Linked DNA regions of Struthio camelus. The protein of the gene in region 1 interacts with the protein of each later gene in a biochemical or structural test. Links are inferred from orthologs where the notes say so. Each region holds a gene or a part of one and is shown on either strand. Other genes may lie near its edges.

Evidence for each region. The genes of interacting proteins can lie anywhere in the genome.
Region 2: the proteins of MPDZ (region 1) and CYSLTR2 interact in a test that uses a peptide from one of them, tested with the Homo sapiens proteins (2 studies listed by IntAct, with this or other methods). The link is inferred for Struthio camelus from reciprocal best matches to the Homo sapiens genes MPDZ and CYSLTR2.

Annotation. Positions count from the first base shown.
Region 1 is NC_090982.1:21,775,398-21,782,996, reverse strand, and holds the start of MPDZ (multiple PDZ domain protein), read left to right. Parts: upstream 1-4,589; 5' UTR 4,590-4,607; intron 4,608-4,728; exon of another isoform or gene 4,729-4,803; intron 4,804-5,347; exon of another isoform or gene 5,348-5,439; intron 5,440-7,599. UniProt on the Homo sapiens protein: Member of the NMDAR signaling complex that may play a role in control of AMPAR potentiation and synaptic plasticity in excitatory synapses. Promotes clustering of HT2RC at the cell surface.
Region 2 is NC_090942.1:192,358,779-192,366,609, forward strand, and holds the start of CYSLTR2 (cysteinyl leukotriene receptor 2), read left to right. Parts: upstream 1-4,735; 5' UTR 4,736-4,842; intron 4,843-4,957; exon of another isoform or gene 4,958-5,142; 5' UTR 5,143-5,211; intron 5,212-7,831. UniProt on the Homo sapiens protein: Receptor for cysteinyl leukotrienes. The response is mediated via a G-protein that activates a phosphatidylinositol-calcium second messenger system.

The DNA of each region.
Region 1 (7,599 bases):
AAAATCTACGATAAGGTTAACATGCTTTGTCATTTATTTGGCTTCACTTCACTGCTATGGGCAAGGCCTGTGGTATTAAACAATCCTGTTTGTATGTAAATAAATGCCCTTTTAATTTGCCATAATTTCAAGTTTTTTGTTTTGTAGTTGAGAATAATTAACATACCTTTTATGATTTTTTTTACTCTGTTCTACCTTCCGGGGCATACTTTCTCTTCCAGACACATGTGTAACCTCCAATAGCAATAATAACAGTTATGAAGTATGTCTGCAGGGGAGACAATTTCCCTAAAAACCTTTAAAATGTAAATCTATGCAACATTCCTGCCAAAATGTATGCTCCAGTAAGTGAAACTAATATTCTGTACTTGCCAGGACAATAATCCAAAAATGGAATAAATTCCAAACACCATACTTAAGAGAAAGTTCGTAATTTCAACTTTGCATAATAACATGCATGGTGTTCCCTCCAACTGCATAGTTACTTCTTGCCATCTGACTTTCGAAGTGTAACTTTTATGTTGAGGTGAGGGAGGAGAAGAGTGTTATATTTAACTTGATTGTATGCTTCTATTAGTAAAACTTCTGGAAAACGTAGTACACACGTATTGTATTCTAACCAGTTCCATGAAAAAGAAGAAAAATACTGATGCAGCCTTATTTGGACAGATAAGGATAGAATGCATAACCACATGCTTAATATATTTGGATTAGCAGCTATAACAATTACGATCACAGTTACCTTTGATGTCAGATTAGTTTTCTACAATTTAGTTCTAGTTAATGCAATAGATTACTCTTAACGCACACATCTGGGAATAACATTTGATTTATAATTATTAGTATTTTCTGACAAGGAAGGTTGTTAATAGTTGTGTTTAGTCTAAATTATGAACAAATGCTCTATTCGAAAGTATAATAATGTGTCTATGTATTCATACATTCACATGCATATACAGTGGCCAAAATTATGCTCTAAGTATTGAAGGGTAAGGTATAAAAACTGAAATTTATTTTTAATTAAGGTAGTGCTTATGAAAAAGGTTTATTGGAATCTTTCCTTGGGTTTTATTCATAATTCAGAAATGGAATTTGCCAAGCAGAGAAGTCAATACTTACATATCTATGACTATGTCTATATAAATATACAAATATGTAAATTATACATGTGTGTGTCTTTTATATATATAAAAAAAATATATAAAACATACACATCGATAACATCCAACAGCTAAGTCTACGCACAAATACAATACCCAGAGTGATTAGACTAAGCAACTCTTTCTGTCAATACATCTGTTTCTTAGGAGACAGACTGACTTGTGCCATAAATGCAGTCAAATGTCCTTCAGAGGCAACATCCTTTTTCCAGGGAAGTCAATGTTTGTGAGTCAAAAAGAGTGGAATCAGACGCACTCACATTTCATTTGCTGGATCCTGTTCCCATTACCATTTTAAAAGACTACATTCCCAACGGTGGTCTAATGGATGACTTAATGGATGCTTATGCTTCTATTTCTAAATACTTTTTTGTGCATTTACTTTTCCTTCATGTCTTCTAATAAATCTATGCAGTACACCATTAACACTAATCTGTGCTATTTTACTAGCAAGATGTGAATACCAGAAGTAAATCAGGAAGACAGACATGTCATCCAATATTGATGTTTCTTCCATGAGCATTTTTTAAATTGGCTTCAGAAATGAAATATTACTGGAGACTAATATTAGACAAAATCAAATGTTTTTTTTAGTTCCCTCTTCATCTCCTCCTTAAGAGTCCTTTCTGACAGACTATTACATTAGTAATTAGAAGTATTACTTTACTTACTTTTGTCATAATAGCAAGTCTCTGAGAAAAACTTGTTTTACAAAGCTATTTGTAGTTTTTATTTAAAATTACATGCTTTTCTATATGTAGACAAATTGATTAATCTTTAGTTTGTAAACACATTTATACTTGGCATGCAAAGTAGATTCTCTTCCCTCCCAGTTTAAGGATAACAGTATAGTTCAAAACTATACCGTACTGACCGGTACGCTACCCGCACTAACGAAGGCATGACACCACCCCAAGCCCTGCGTGACAGCGTACACCACCCAGCCCACCCCTTAACCTTCCTTCTCTGGGAAGCAGCCGCAGAGGTGACAGCTTTACTCAGTGTGGAGTCTGTAAAATGACTCTCTTTTTGTCCTACTTGGTAGCACCTTCTGTGGAAAGAAGAAACAAGTAAATATGAATTGTCTATTGGGTGTCTGTCTAGTCATCTCCCTAAACTGGTTATCAAGTAGACCTGCAGGACAGCTACTGTACTCCAACCCTCAATACTTTTCCTTGCGAAAACTGTGTCAGCATGAAGATAATCAGTTATTTTAAATGAGTTCATTACGTTACAGTGATGCAAATTCCTGGTACAGATGTGCTGCCGCCTGTTTACCAGGCGGCTAGGTTTGAGGGTGCTGCTAAGTTGGTATAATTATATCCACGCAAATACTTTTAATACAGGCAAGGCCTAAGGTAGCATGATTCTTTGAACTTCAGTGAGTATAATCTACTTAATATATACTGCGACAGCCATGGTAAAATCTGAATATTATTGTAGACGAAATTCTACTTGAGAATAGCAGATTGTGTATTAAAAGAATTATCTGGAAGATATATCCCACACAAATACAAGTTGCAATGGGAAGAACTACTGCACAGCTGATATTGCTATACATTGGAAAGAATAAACTGCCATTTGGTTTTGGCCCATTTTTAGCTGCAAATATGCTTACTAGTGTCACTGTATTATATTTCAGAGGGATGTCAAGGTCAAGGCCAGAGCAACAGAATTAATAACAATAGTTGTTACTAATTCTGTTATTAATTCTACATTGAATGTTCTACATTCATCTAACCCACTGTGGTTCTTTTATAGATTGAATAATGATGTACACAAACGAGCTGTACCTTCTTTTTAATATTTCATTCTGGAGTCATGCAACATGGAAAGCTGGTGGGACGCTTTATAGAGCAGTCACTTTTATAACTATAGCAAATCGACTCTCAACATTTAATTTAAAGGATCAGTATGTTAACAGGCAAATGTTAGATCAAAAAATGTGAACGTGTGATTTCCAGATCTTGAAAATGGTTACGTTTTTCTCAGGTAAGCTATGGAAGAATGACTGTCAAGCAGGTGTGATTACATGCACTTCCATGTACAACAGACAAAAAAGAAGCTAATCAACTGGAGTTCTTCAATCTGACAGCTGTAATAAACAAGAGAAATACAGTGTAGGGTAATTTTTTTTTCAAAAGATAATGTGCAAAATTAAAACAATCAAAATAATCCTGGAAGTGTACAAAGACCCATGTATCTTAAACTTTACACAAGAAATTTCCAACTCGTGAAAGTGCCTTCACCAAGGCTGCACTTAATGATCTTCTTTTAAATATTAGAATGGTATTCCACTGTATCTCGCAAATAATGACTTTTAAAAAATTGTTTATGGGAGAAAAAAACAACTATCACACGAATATGATAACACTTGCAATTCAAATATGTTTGGAGAGAAAAACAAATCAAACGAGAAGACAAGCAAAATTACAAAGTACCCAGCTTCTGCAGAGATGGCGTATTCAGTAGAACACTCCAGATTTCTTTTTAGCTTGAAGGGTGTTATCACAACAGAGCTGACTGAGTAAACATACTTGGCAGCAACAAGGGTAGACCATGATCCTAACCACATTAGCTAGAAGAAGCAAATTTAACAAACAAAAAGCAAAACACTTGGACTTTTTGGTGAACTAATTTCTGTTGTCATAGCAATCATTTTAGCTTTATGTTCTTTAGTCTTATGACATTTATACGTAGGTGTAAGGTATACAGCATCTTCACATTTTTACTTAAGACACTAATCTGCAATTGCTCAAAAAGAGGGATAATTACCTCCTATTTAGTCCTATGACATTATTCATCATTTTGTCTTATTCCATCATGTTTTATTTCCAAACACTCCCTTTTTTTTCCCCATTCAAACGTGGGCTCATTTTGTTCAGACTGTGTTAGGGCAAAAAAACGGTGGCTTGCTGGGAGAACAAGAAGGGGTGGCACGCTCTTGCACTGGTGGGTTGTGGCAGAATGAGTTAGCAGACCAGGCCCAAACTTTGCAGCGGGCATATCTACAAAACGTAGAAGAGTTTCTTAGAGGGACAGCGCATAGCATCTTTTTAAATATTCAGAGGGGAGCTCAATGGCACCTGGTTAATTTTACAAGCAGCCCTTCAAAGTGGGAAATCGGAGAAAATTAGTGCAGAGAAACAAAATTAGCACCAACCTACTTTTAGATCTGATCACGTAGGCTAACATCTCTGCGTGCTGAGCCCCTCTGCCCAGTGTGCCGCCTTGCCGGCAGCAAACGCAGGAAGTTTACTGAGGGGACGCTAATGCAAAAGAAAAACCAAACCGAACCAAACTAAAACCAACAGTGAGGGAGATGGATGGGAAGCCCTAAGACGATTTTTCTCCCCCCCCCCTTTTTTTTTCTGTCCTACCCACGCTGCAAACCGGGAGCGCCGCTGCGCGGGGCGCGCTGCCGGCCGGGGCCGGGGCCCCGGGGCGGTGAGCGAGCGCGGGGGGCCGCGCCGGAGCGGCGGGGGGGGCGGCGGGCAGGATTAGGTTTCAGGGCCGCCGGGGCGTGCCTGCGTGCGCTGCCCCCGCGGCGTGGCGCGGCGCGGCGCGGCGCGGCTGGGCTCGGCGCCGCTGCGCGGGGGCGGGCAGGGCGCAGGCGGCGAGCGGGGCCCGCGGAGCCGGCGCGGTAAGCGGGGCGCGGGGGGCGGCGGTGGCGCTTTGCCCCGGCGGGGGGGGGCGAGGGAGGGGGCCAGCGCCCATCGCCGGCCCCCACGGAGCGGGGTGCCGGCCGTAAGGGAGTTTTGAGTTTATTTCATGTGCATTTGATTTATTTCATTTATTTCGCAAAGTTGTTCTGTTTTTTTTTTTTTTTTAATTTTCCACTTATTTATTTTCCCGAGCGGCTGGGTTTTGCGGGGGAGGGGGTGGTGGCGGTGTGGAGGAGGAGAAGAGAGGCCTTGGAGGGAAGGGGGCCGGGGAGCTGCGGGCGCCGGCGGAGCCTGTTGCGTGTGCCCGGGGGCGGGGGGGGGGGGGCGGCGGGGAGCGGGCTGGGCTCCCCGGCCGCCCCGCGCCTCCTGCCCGATGCTCCCCGGGCTCGGCCCGCCTGCCCGGCACTCCTCCCGATGTAAACAAAAGCCGGGTCTCCTCCTGTTGCTGCAAGGCTGGCTTTCATTTTGCTTTCGCTCCCTACTACCCCTCCCTCCTTTTTTTTTTTTTTTTCCTCCTCCCAGTGGGGATTTTTTCATCTTTGCAGAAGGTCTCCTCCCTCACCCCCCGGCTTCTCACCTGCTGCGCTCTGCGCACCCGAGACCTATTTTGGAAGGTGTGTTTTGCGAGTGATGCCGTGGTGGTGTTTACCGCTCCCTCCTCGGGGAGGACTGAGCTCGGCTCTGAAATCCCCTGCCCTCCGAGTGTGTGGGGGGGTGAGGTGGGGGGGGTGCTGCGGCCGGAGGGGGAAGACGGGACATGCCGCAGACATGTTGCATGCGCAGTGGCCTGCGTCGAGCCCGAGTGGGATGTGACTGATGGGAACCAGCCTCCTCCTGGACCGCTTGTGCCAGAGGGTTTGCGCAGCGCTAGCAGCCGGCGGCGGCAGCAGTGCTGGGCGATGGCCCTGAGACGGACCCCCCGCAGCAGACGCCACCACTGCCCCTACTTTGCTTAGCAAGTCGGTGGTCCTGGAGGCGCTTAGGTTCTCAGCCAGGTCTTGTGGCGCCAAAACTCAGTTATAAGTGAAAACCAGCAAAACTCAAAAGGCCCAGCCAAAACCACTAGTTCTGTGCAGCAGATCTGTGTGAAAGACTCCATAAAAACTGGCTGGCTCTTTGATGTCATTGTAACTGCTGATAAGAGGTCACCAGTGTTTTTGGTCTTATCTTTCTTTATCAGTTATTTTATTGACGTTGGGGAGTTCTTGCAGTTATGGTCTCAATTACAGCTTTCTAAAGCCCAGTGGGTATTTATTTAAACGTTAATCCACGTTACACAGTGCCTTTAGAGGGGCCTAAATTTTGCCTTTTGATAGATTTGGCCAATGGATACTGCATAAGTTATATTAAGAGAAAGGTATAGTTTTCGGAGTAATTTCTTTTCCTGTGTGATTTTCCTTCTTCCTTCAAGAACATTCATAAACTATTGGAAAGAATAATAGTCTGTCACAAAGCTGGCAGCTTAACTCCCTGTACTGCATTTAACAGATTTGATTTATTATTTTGCTGAACAGTGTTTTATCCTTTTTCTCTCCTCGTCCTTTTTTTTTTTTTTCCTGCAGTGGTCAAAATAGCACCCCAGCCGTTTATATTTTTGCTCCTCAACGCTTGCAGGAAATTTTCCTAGTACAGCCTGTTGGATGGAAGATGTCATTAGTGGTTTTGATAACAGAAAGTGCAGCACGGGTTTTTTACTCAAGCAGAGCAGTGGCCTACTGTGTTAAAGGGTCTGAATTCTGCAGTTCTTGGAAGTTTATTTTGAAATGCCAGTTGGTATCAGTATCAGCAGTGCATTTCCCTAGATAACAACTGAATGGGAGGGAAGAATCTGAACTAGGAAGGAGGAAAGTAGTAAAATGTTAATGGGAAATGCTACTTGATGCTCACAGGCAAATGGAAAGGTGTGTAACATTAGAAGAAAAGAGCGTAGTACTAAAATATCTGAGGACATATTTACATAGATATTAACTAGCAACAAGTTTTATGATAGAGAGCATCATCTTAGCTTTTTTTTCCCCCAAAACTTTTGTCAGTTTTTAGAATATATTTTTTGTACTTCCATGTTATTAACAGGAACATGCATGTAACAGTTGCATGTAACAGTTTCTAATGGTTTCCTTTGTGTTCTCAAGAAATTTTTCTTCAGGAGCTGGATACATTCTTCCCTCTCTTAACGTGAAAGCGTACTAGGAAAGTTAGATCAATATCAACACTAGGGAAAGAAGAGCTGCACTGCTTACATACTAATTTTCTGTCTGACTCTGTGTCTGTGAGCCCCGGGGGGATTAATGCCATACAACTTTTTAGTCACTCAGAGCACTGTAGATGATCTGTGCTTCTTATTCTTTTTTCTTTTTTAATTGATCCCTCTTTAATCACTGTAGTGAAAACCGTTATAAAGACCCTTTAAATCATCTGATCCGTGTTTCATATAAGCAAATTTAAAATTCTGTAGATAAGATTTAGTACACTTTATATCTAAATGGCTTTGCATTAAAAGCACTCCATTAAAGCAGTTTAAAGCTAGTGGAGTACCATGCTGTTGGCATACAGTCTTACCATTGGTAGAGGTAGTTTTGTTTCGCCAATTGGAATTCCCAGCAAGACAACATCTAAATATGTCATTTTGTTTTCAGTGCCCTCTTTTTGCTTAAAATAATGCTTTGTGGTACTATTGGCTCGTGCTTCTGGAATAACTGCCGAGGCAGTATTGGGGTATTTCTCTCACAGGCTTTTCAGACCTGCTCCTTGCATCTGAGCAGCCTGCTTATTAC
Region 2 (7,831 bases), on another chromosome or scaffold:
GATGCAGAGCGCTTGAACCTGATCATTTGAATTTTGCAATATTGTTGGTGGTTTTTATCCAGCTGTTGGGTTACGGCTATTATAGAAGAGTCAGCAAAAAGGGAAGAGAGGAAGCTTGCTTTGCTTCTGGTTTCTAGATGTGTATAAAGAGAGAGACCAGCAGAATAGCACGGGACATGCAGAACATTTAAAGTGGGGTAAACACAGATCAAAAGACGGGTTTGGGGGTAGGTAACTTACAGTAAAATGCCATACACATGCCAACATGTATGTGTGATAAGTCTACAGGTGGTCATATCTTAAGAGAGGGGTAACTAAATCACTGCCAAATCCTTCACATTCTGCACTTGCATACTCCCATCAATGTGCGACTCTGTCATGTCTAACACATAAAATGGAAAACAGAAATAACAGAGGTTGCAATTGCAGTTTGTGCAATTAGTTGAAATGCATAACACAAGCAAAAGGTCCCTGTGACACCCACATGGTGCTGGATAGAGAGATGGATAGAGAAGTAGAGAGGTTTCGAAAGACAGGCTATGCAGAGAAGACAGAATATTAGTAAATATTCCTGGCACACTGACAACCTTGCATGTGTTAAAACTGAAATGCTTTTGGCTAGTTCCTAAAAAAAAAAAACACCACTGTTCTTTTTTTTCCAGTCACAGTTTCTGGGGCTGTTTTCTTTAGGTTTTAATCCAAAAAAAGGCTCTATTCTTTCCAATAACTTCAATGGGCTTTAGATGAAGGCCTTAGAAAGTGTTTGGCTTTCTGTCCTGCTCGAGTTCACTCTTTTCACAGTTGAGGACTGGATCGATTAAACTCTAGGAAGTGCATTAATGCTGCCAGCTGCCATTGGCTCCACGGCTTTTGAAGACAATCAATTTTTCCCAAGGCACACACCACCTTTAGAGGGGCAGTGAAAGAACTTCTCCAGTTTTAGTACTTTATACTTTTAAAAAGGCAGTTTATTTTACATGTAGACAATACTAGATGTCTTTTTCCATTCCAGATATATGCTAACATTCTTCTGCCTTCATTAGTATATTAATGAGGAACAGCAAACTGTTAAGAAAAGACTACAAGCAATTAAAAAAGATGTCATTATTGATGTTGCAAAAGGAACAGCTTGAAAACCTTCTGTGCTTTTCCTTTCGAATAATGCCTGTTAAGATTACCCCTCCTTCTTTACCCCCTTCCTCGTGCAGTAGTCACCTTGATCTTCCCAGCTATCCAGCCTTATGGCTGACAGCAAATGAGCTACTAACATTTGATGCTATTTTTTTTTCTCGACTGCACAGAAAATGAATGTAAGCTTTGTAATTTTAGTCTCTGGAAATAGATATGTGTTACTAGGCTAAGCTGCTGTGTTGAAGACGTGAGGCATTAAAATCTTCAGTGAAGGTAATCCTTTCTGTTTGTTTGATATATCCCTTTCTGCCAAAAAATCTATTGGCATGTGAAGGTGAAACTCCGACACTAGACGTTCACGCCTGCAGACAGCAAAACATTGCCTGAGCAACTGGAAAAATATATGGACTCCTTCTTCTGCACTGTGTGAGTCACTGGATGCCTCACAGGAGATCCCTTGGTGCTGGGGATTGCCAGGTCTCCCGTGCACGGCCCCGAGGTTTGCTCCGGGCGGCAGCGGGGCTGCCCGACTGAACGAGCTGGCGTGCGACTGCCTGCTACGCCCTGCGAGCAGCGCGATGTGCTTTTACAGGTCTGTTTGGATGGGCCTGTGCGTCAGACACCCAGCCTTGCCCAGGCGGGTTTCAGATCCCCGTGGCCAAAAAAGGCAGCTCCCTGCTTCCTGTGTTGCAGTGTGAAGCGGAGGACAGCCTGCCCCGCGTGACTGCAACCACGGATGGATGCACCAGGCAACGTGCTTGTCCTCAAACAGCAGCTGCCTTCACTTTAGGGGGCAAAACCTGGCGTTTCTCTCTAGCCAGTGAGAAGAGTGAATTGGCAAATCATCCCATGGGCCCCAGGCACTGCTTTGGCAATGAGATACCTGCTCTGCTGCTGCCCAGAGCAGCAACAGCAGCTCTATGGGGGCCAGAAAGTCACTGCACGGAGACGTTTGAAACAGCCTTATGGCAGGAGGAAGCCCAGCAGCAGGTCTGATAGGATGTGGCCTGCAGAGGTGCCTGGGAGGGGAAAACCACTTTGGGGTAAAAAATGCCTAAACTGCCCCTTTGGAGAATTAATTCCCCAATCACCTCAACTTCAGTACAGCTACAGGGGGAGGCCTGGCCCTACAGGGCACGTAGCAGCGTGATGTGCAGCACCACGATGCCTCAAAGTTTGGGATGTCCATGCTGCCGAGCTAGGTGCCCCCCACAGTGAGCGCAGGAGATGGGCTCCTCCGCTGGCGCTCCCATCGGGGAGCGCTCAGGCCACAAGGATGCTTGAACTTGCTGATAGAAATAATTCAGATTTGTGCCTTTTCTTGGCCTGGAATGCTTCGCTCAGGTCCAAAGTTCAGCTGCTTCACGCGACGGGGATTCAAAGCCTGCAACGGTGGCTTTGCTTGCGGGCTGGCGGGAGCTGAGCCCTCGTCCTTGGGCAGCGCCCCGGCACTGTGCCGGGGCAGAGGTGGGCAAGCAAAGGAGGGCAAAGGAAAGGATGAGTCACCCCCTCTTGCTTTTCTCTCTTGCAGCTGGGCTGCCATGGAGCCAGAAGTGCAAAAGGGAACAGAAACAGAGGCAGGAGTGAGCACAACTGCAGCTTAGCCTAGTGGTTTGCACTCTCAGCTCCACTGCTTCTGCTTCTTGGACCATCTCTGCATTTAATGGGACTTAAAATGCAGAGAAAATCTAGGCTGGTAACTGTTGAATGTGTTTTGTGCACAGTGTCTTGCGATGAGAATCCTTTATTCTTCATGATATTGAGATGGCTTCTGCAGAATTACTGAAGTTTGTATGAACAAAAAACGTGCTAAACTCCTCTCGGAAGCTGAGTCATTCAACGACAGTTTCTAAAAAATCCCAGACAGTCACTCCAGCTCCAGCTTATCAGGTGCAGGGTGAGTTGGCATCTGACCCCATTTATTGAAACAATCTGGAAAGGAAATACAGCATTACTTTGGTAAGGAGAAGAAATAGTACTCTCCAGAAAGCAGGCCTTTTAAGAAGGTGGATGTAACAAATTATCCGGGCAAGCGTGTCACGTGATGAAAGAGGCATTCTCAAAACGCATTCAGGAAAACAAAATGTGATCAATGCCTAACTCTTCCACATGTTTTGGTGTCTGTGAACAACCTGCTTATCAGTCCCAGTGCAATTATCGCAGCGTGCCATGTGATGCAGATGTCATCAGGCTGCTATTGCAATGCCAACATTAGTCATCACAGCATCTCTGCCTGTTGCAGATAAAAGGCAGTCTGAATTACTGGGGCATCTTCCAAATGGCTCCAGCGGGCACAGTTCTCCTCTGGCCGGGGCCGTGCTGCACGTCACAGCTTCTTCCTAAAGGTCTCTGCCCCAAAATCTGCCTGCCAAGCAGCTTGTGGGGTCATTTCCTATCCTGCTGCAGTTCAAATGAGCTACGTTAGCGAAGACCCCCTATTTCAGGTATCTAAGGTACCCTGCTTCACTGACCAAAGCGTGGCCGGGGACATGCACTTGTGCGGCTCTGCCAGCAACGCTTGACAGATGGGGAGACAGCTGTGAGAGTAACCATACCAGCCAGCATCACCACAACTGGGAAGGGACACAAACCTACGGCCTTACATGCCGCATGAGTTTGCAATGTCTGTGCTAGGCACCCGTGGAGCGGTCTCAAGAGGACCCCTAATTCACTGTCACTCTGCACCTCGCAAATTCATTTAAAAGGGATTGCTAGCATTTTAAACGGACTTTGCACTGTCAAGGCAAACGTGGGCAAATGTTCACAGCTTGCTCCAGAGACTGAAGGTCCTCGCCTCACCCTTAGCTAAGCTGGAGCAGTCCTGCACATGATTCCCTATGTCCTTTTTCAGCTTCATGAAGTAAAAAATGCTGAGCTGTGTTTGCAAGCCCCCCTCTATGCAGAGATTTGTGAAGTCTGGTGACACAGGTCTTTGCAGACACTGCACATCACCCACTCAGCCCCCCTGCCATGTGGAGCACGCCCAGAGGGCAATTTTTACCTGGTCTAAAGGTCCTTTATACAGCTAGAGAGAAGGGATCTTGCTATAAATGAGAATCAGACACAGGTGGCAATGTAGGGTAGGCTGCAAGCGGGATTACCAGGAGAGCTTGGGAGCATAGACGACTACAAATGTAGGTGCTCAGAAGGTTTTAGGAGGAGACTCTCCATTCACCGAGCAATGGTAACGACCCTGCGTGGATGCCTAGCCTGCGGCAGCTAGGAAATAAAACATAGCAGCCGAGAGACACTTGAATACATCTGATCTGCCGGTGTGCGCTGACACCACAGAGGAGGAATAACCAACCTGTTACACCTACAGCGCGCACAGATACCTACTGCTCAATTGCAGTGGGCTAGGAGCACCCATTTAACGCCGATCCACTGATGAGTGGTAAAATGTTAAGGGGCGGTAAGGCATTTGCTGCAGACACGTGTCCATGACCTAACAGTACTGTGTATTCAGGTCCTATGAAAATTCAAGGAAAACTAGTCCTTCGGTTCTGTAAATTCACCCTGGAAGTGTGGGCTGAGTCACATTACCCATCAGCTCCTGGCTGCCTGCTTATGATGATGTTTTTGATGTGCTTTCTGCAGTAAAAAGCCTGACTAATAACCGCTGGCATGTGTCGTCTTAATAATTCCAAGAACTACGTCCCTAATGATCCGTGTTAAGCTTTATAGCATGATTTCCAAAAACATCCATCAACTGTGAGTATCGGAAGCAAATAAACAGAAGTGAGAGCCCAAATATAGAAATCCAAAAGGCGTCCAAGATCACTGCTTAGCTGCAGGGCCTCTTTCATTGGATGAAAAGTATAAAACATTGCCATGTGATTACTAGTACCACTCCTTGAGCTGAAAACATTTCTCACTTAAGAAAATATAAGATCTGTTAATAAGGATTTACTTCCCCTTCCTACTGCTCATCACCCCTCTGTGGCTTCTGCATAAATAGCACTCGTGTTTTTTTGATTCAAGTTTCTGTGTTTTTCCTTTGCACTAACAAAGCTGCAAGTTGTGAACAACAAAAAGCAGAAGAAGGAAATACCGAAGACACCAGAAGGCAGAAAAGCTGAGGTAGGACAAGATTTGTCTGCTTTTTCTTTTTCTGATGTAGATAAAAAATGGTTGTAATAATTAAAATGCAACTTACTTGCGTTTCTTGTTACTTGCTGTAAGCTTTGTTTTTGCTAGCAACTATAATCACTGACTAACGTTCTTTATGCTAAAGCCAGGCTTGAAAATTTTATTTGGAAGAAAAAAGTGTGACTTGATGTAAGTAGGAGTTTTACCAGACAGAAGATAGCAATCAAGTGGTGGATCTGAGTGAGTCCTGTTTTTTTAGCTAGACCAATATGACAAACTTTGTTCATGGCAAACTTTTAAAACAAAAAAGTGTTAAAGGTCAAGATCTCGATTTTTTTTTTATTATCATCCATGTAGAAAAGTTAATAAAACGCCATACGTTTCAGTGAATTGAATTTAGTGTTAATTTCAGACATCACATTTTGTTATATTTATTTTTGGTAATGCTGCTCCTGAAACATAAAATGTGTGCTAGAAAGAAAGCAAATGGGAACTTTAAAAAAAATTAGAGCTTCTCTTTTTTTCTCATAGTGCGGCAACAAATGCAAGTAATCTGACATGAATGCTCCCATGTAGCAAAGATATCATAACAACCTTCCTCTTCAGATAACAAACACGGGACTCTGGTGTCTGAAGTATTCCTCAGACAAAGGCATATTGTGATAGACGTGCAGAGCATCTCTTTTTCTTGCTACCCAGAAGTTTATCTTTATCTTTATCACTAAAGATATTGTCTTATCTGTATCTTATCTGTATAAAGATATTATCGTTATCTGTATCTTTATCACTAAACACAGAACCATATTTTGCATGAATAGATTTCTCTATTTGACTTTGCATATGTGCAACACCGTATTTAAATTAGGTTCTTCGGTAGTTCCTCGCTTCCTGGTGAGCGCGACGTTTCAGAAGGGCAGATATCAGAACCTTCACTTGAAAGTTTCCAGCAGTCTGGACATGAAGAATTTCATCCTCACACCTTTAGCAGCAGCACCCCTCCAACAAACCTCCCCAAAGGGAGGGATTCCTCCTGTTCCAGCCTGGCGCAGAAATCTTTCCCGCTGTCGGCTGAGTTACGGGCTGACTTGGCTGTTCTTGATTTAGCCCTCTACCAGAACTGGGAAAGCCCAGGGCTACTGACTGTTACGGTTTTCCCAGTAATAATTTTTTGACCTACAGAGTCATACAGGGTTTTTAGGATCACTGTTGGTACTGGTTTCACTTCACAAGCAGAAAGTAGGAGCAACACAGAGAAATCAATTGAGTTGATTTGTTGAGTTGAGTTGACCAACTTTTGTTGAGTTGATCAACTGAGTTGGTGGTGTTGCATAAATTGGGAGCAGAGTACAACTGTAAGAAATGAGCTGGTGGCTCAGACCAACCACCGTCTAGCCCAATATTCCGTCTCTGATGGTGGTGACAGGCAATGCTGTTTAGAGAGACCATGAGAGCTGGATCACCTTCTGCAGTGCATTGCCATTGTATTCCCCCAGCACCCCTAACTGTTGTTTAGGGGTGCTAGAGGGTATATCCCTGCCTAGTCCTTTATTTCCCATTTATTGTCCTTGAATTTGTCCAACCCTGTTTTGGACCAGCTGATACCAGCTGTACTCACTGGTTGAAAACAGGCTCCCATCAAGTCTGTTGAGTGTCCCTAGTGCTGCAGGACCCATGAGCAACAGTTTGCATTCACACCATCTGACACTTCGACACGTCTGTAAGCCGTGATCGCATTCTTCTTCAGCCTTGTCCTGCCACACTGAAGGGTCCCAGCCTCTTAGCCCCTGCTCTGTCTCTTGATCATTTCACTCACCTCTCTTTGACCCTCCTCTAACTCCGTTATGTCCCTCTTGGGTGCAGAGACTAGAACTTCACACGGTGTTCACGGCAGGGATGCATGGAGGTTTTATACAAAGATGCACCCTGCTTTTTTCTGCATAGCCTTCTTGATGATGCCCCTCATTTTGTTGGCTTTTTCGGATGTTGCTCCAGTCAAGGCAGAAATGACTTCAGTAGCCTGTCAACAATGACTCCATCACCAATGCCAAACACATGCTCTTTCCTGAATGAAACAGCTAGTTTCAAGTTCTGTATCACATAGGCATGGTTTAGATTATTTTTCCGAAGCTGCATCACCTTACATGAAACTACACTAAAGATCATCTGCCACCTTTTCAGCATAGTGTTGAAAAGCTCAGGGTCATCTGCCAGCCTGGAGATTTCTCTGCACACACCCTTCTCCAGGTCATTGACAAAGATACTGAACAAACCTGGACCAAGCACAAAGCCCTAGAGACCACGCTGCTGATTCATTAAGCCCTACACTTTTTCTTCCTACGCTTTAACCAGCTTTCAGTCCATAAAAGAAACTGTCTTCTAGATCTCTGGCAACTTAGTTCATTAGAAAACTTTTGGTGCAGAACTTTATCAAAGGCTTTTAGAAAATTCAACTATATAAATACATATATATAGATATATACATATATGTATTTATATATATATTTGTATGCATATATATATACACACATATATGTGTATGTGTGTGTGTGCATATACGTATTTATATAAAATGGCTGCTGGGCCCCCTTCATCCATCATCCTTATCACCCTT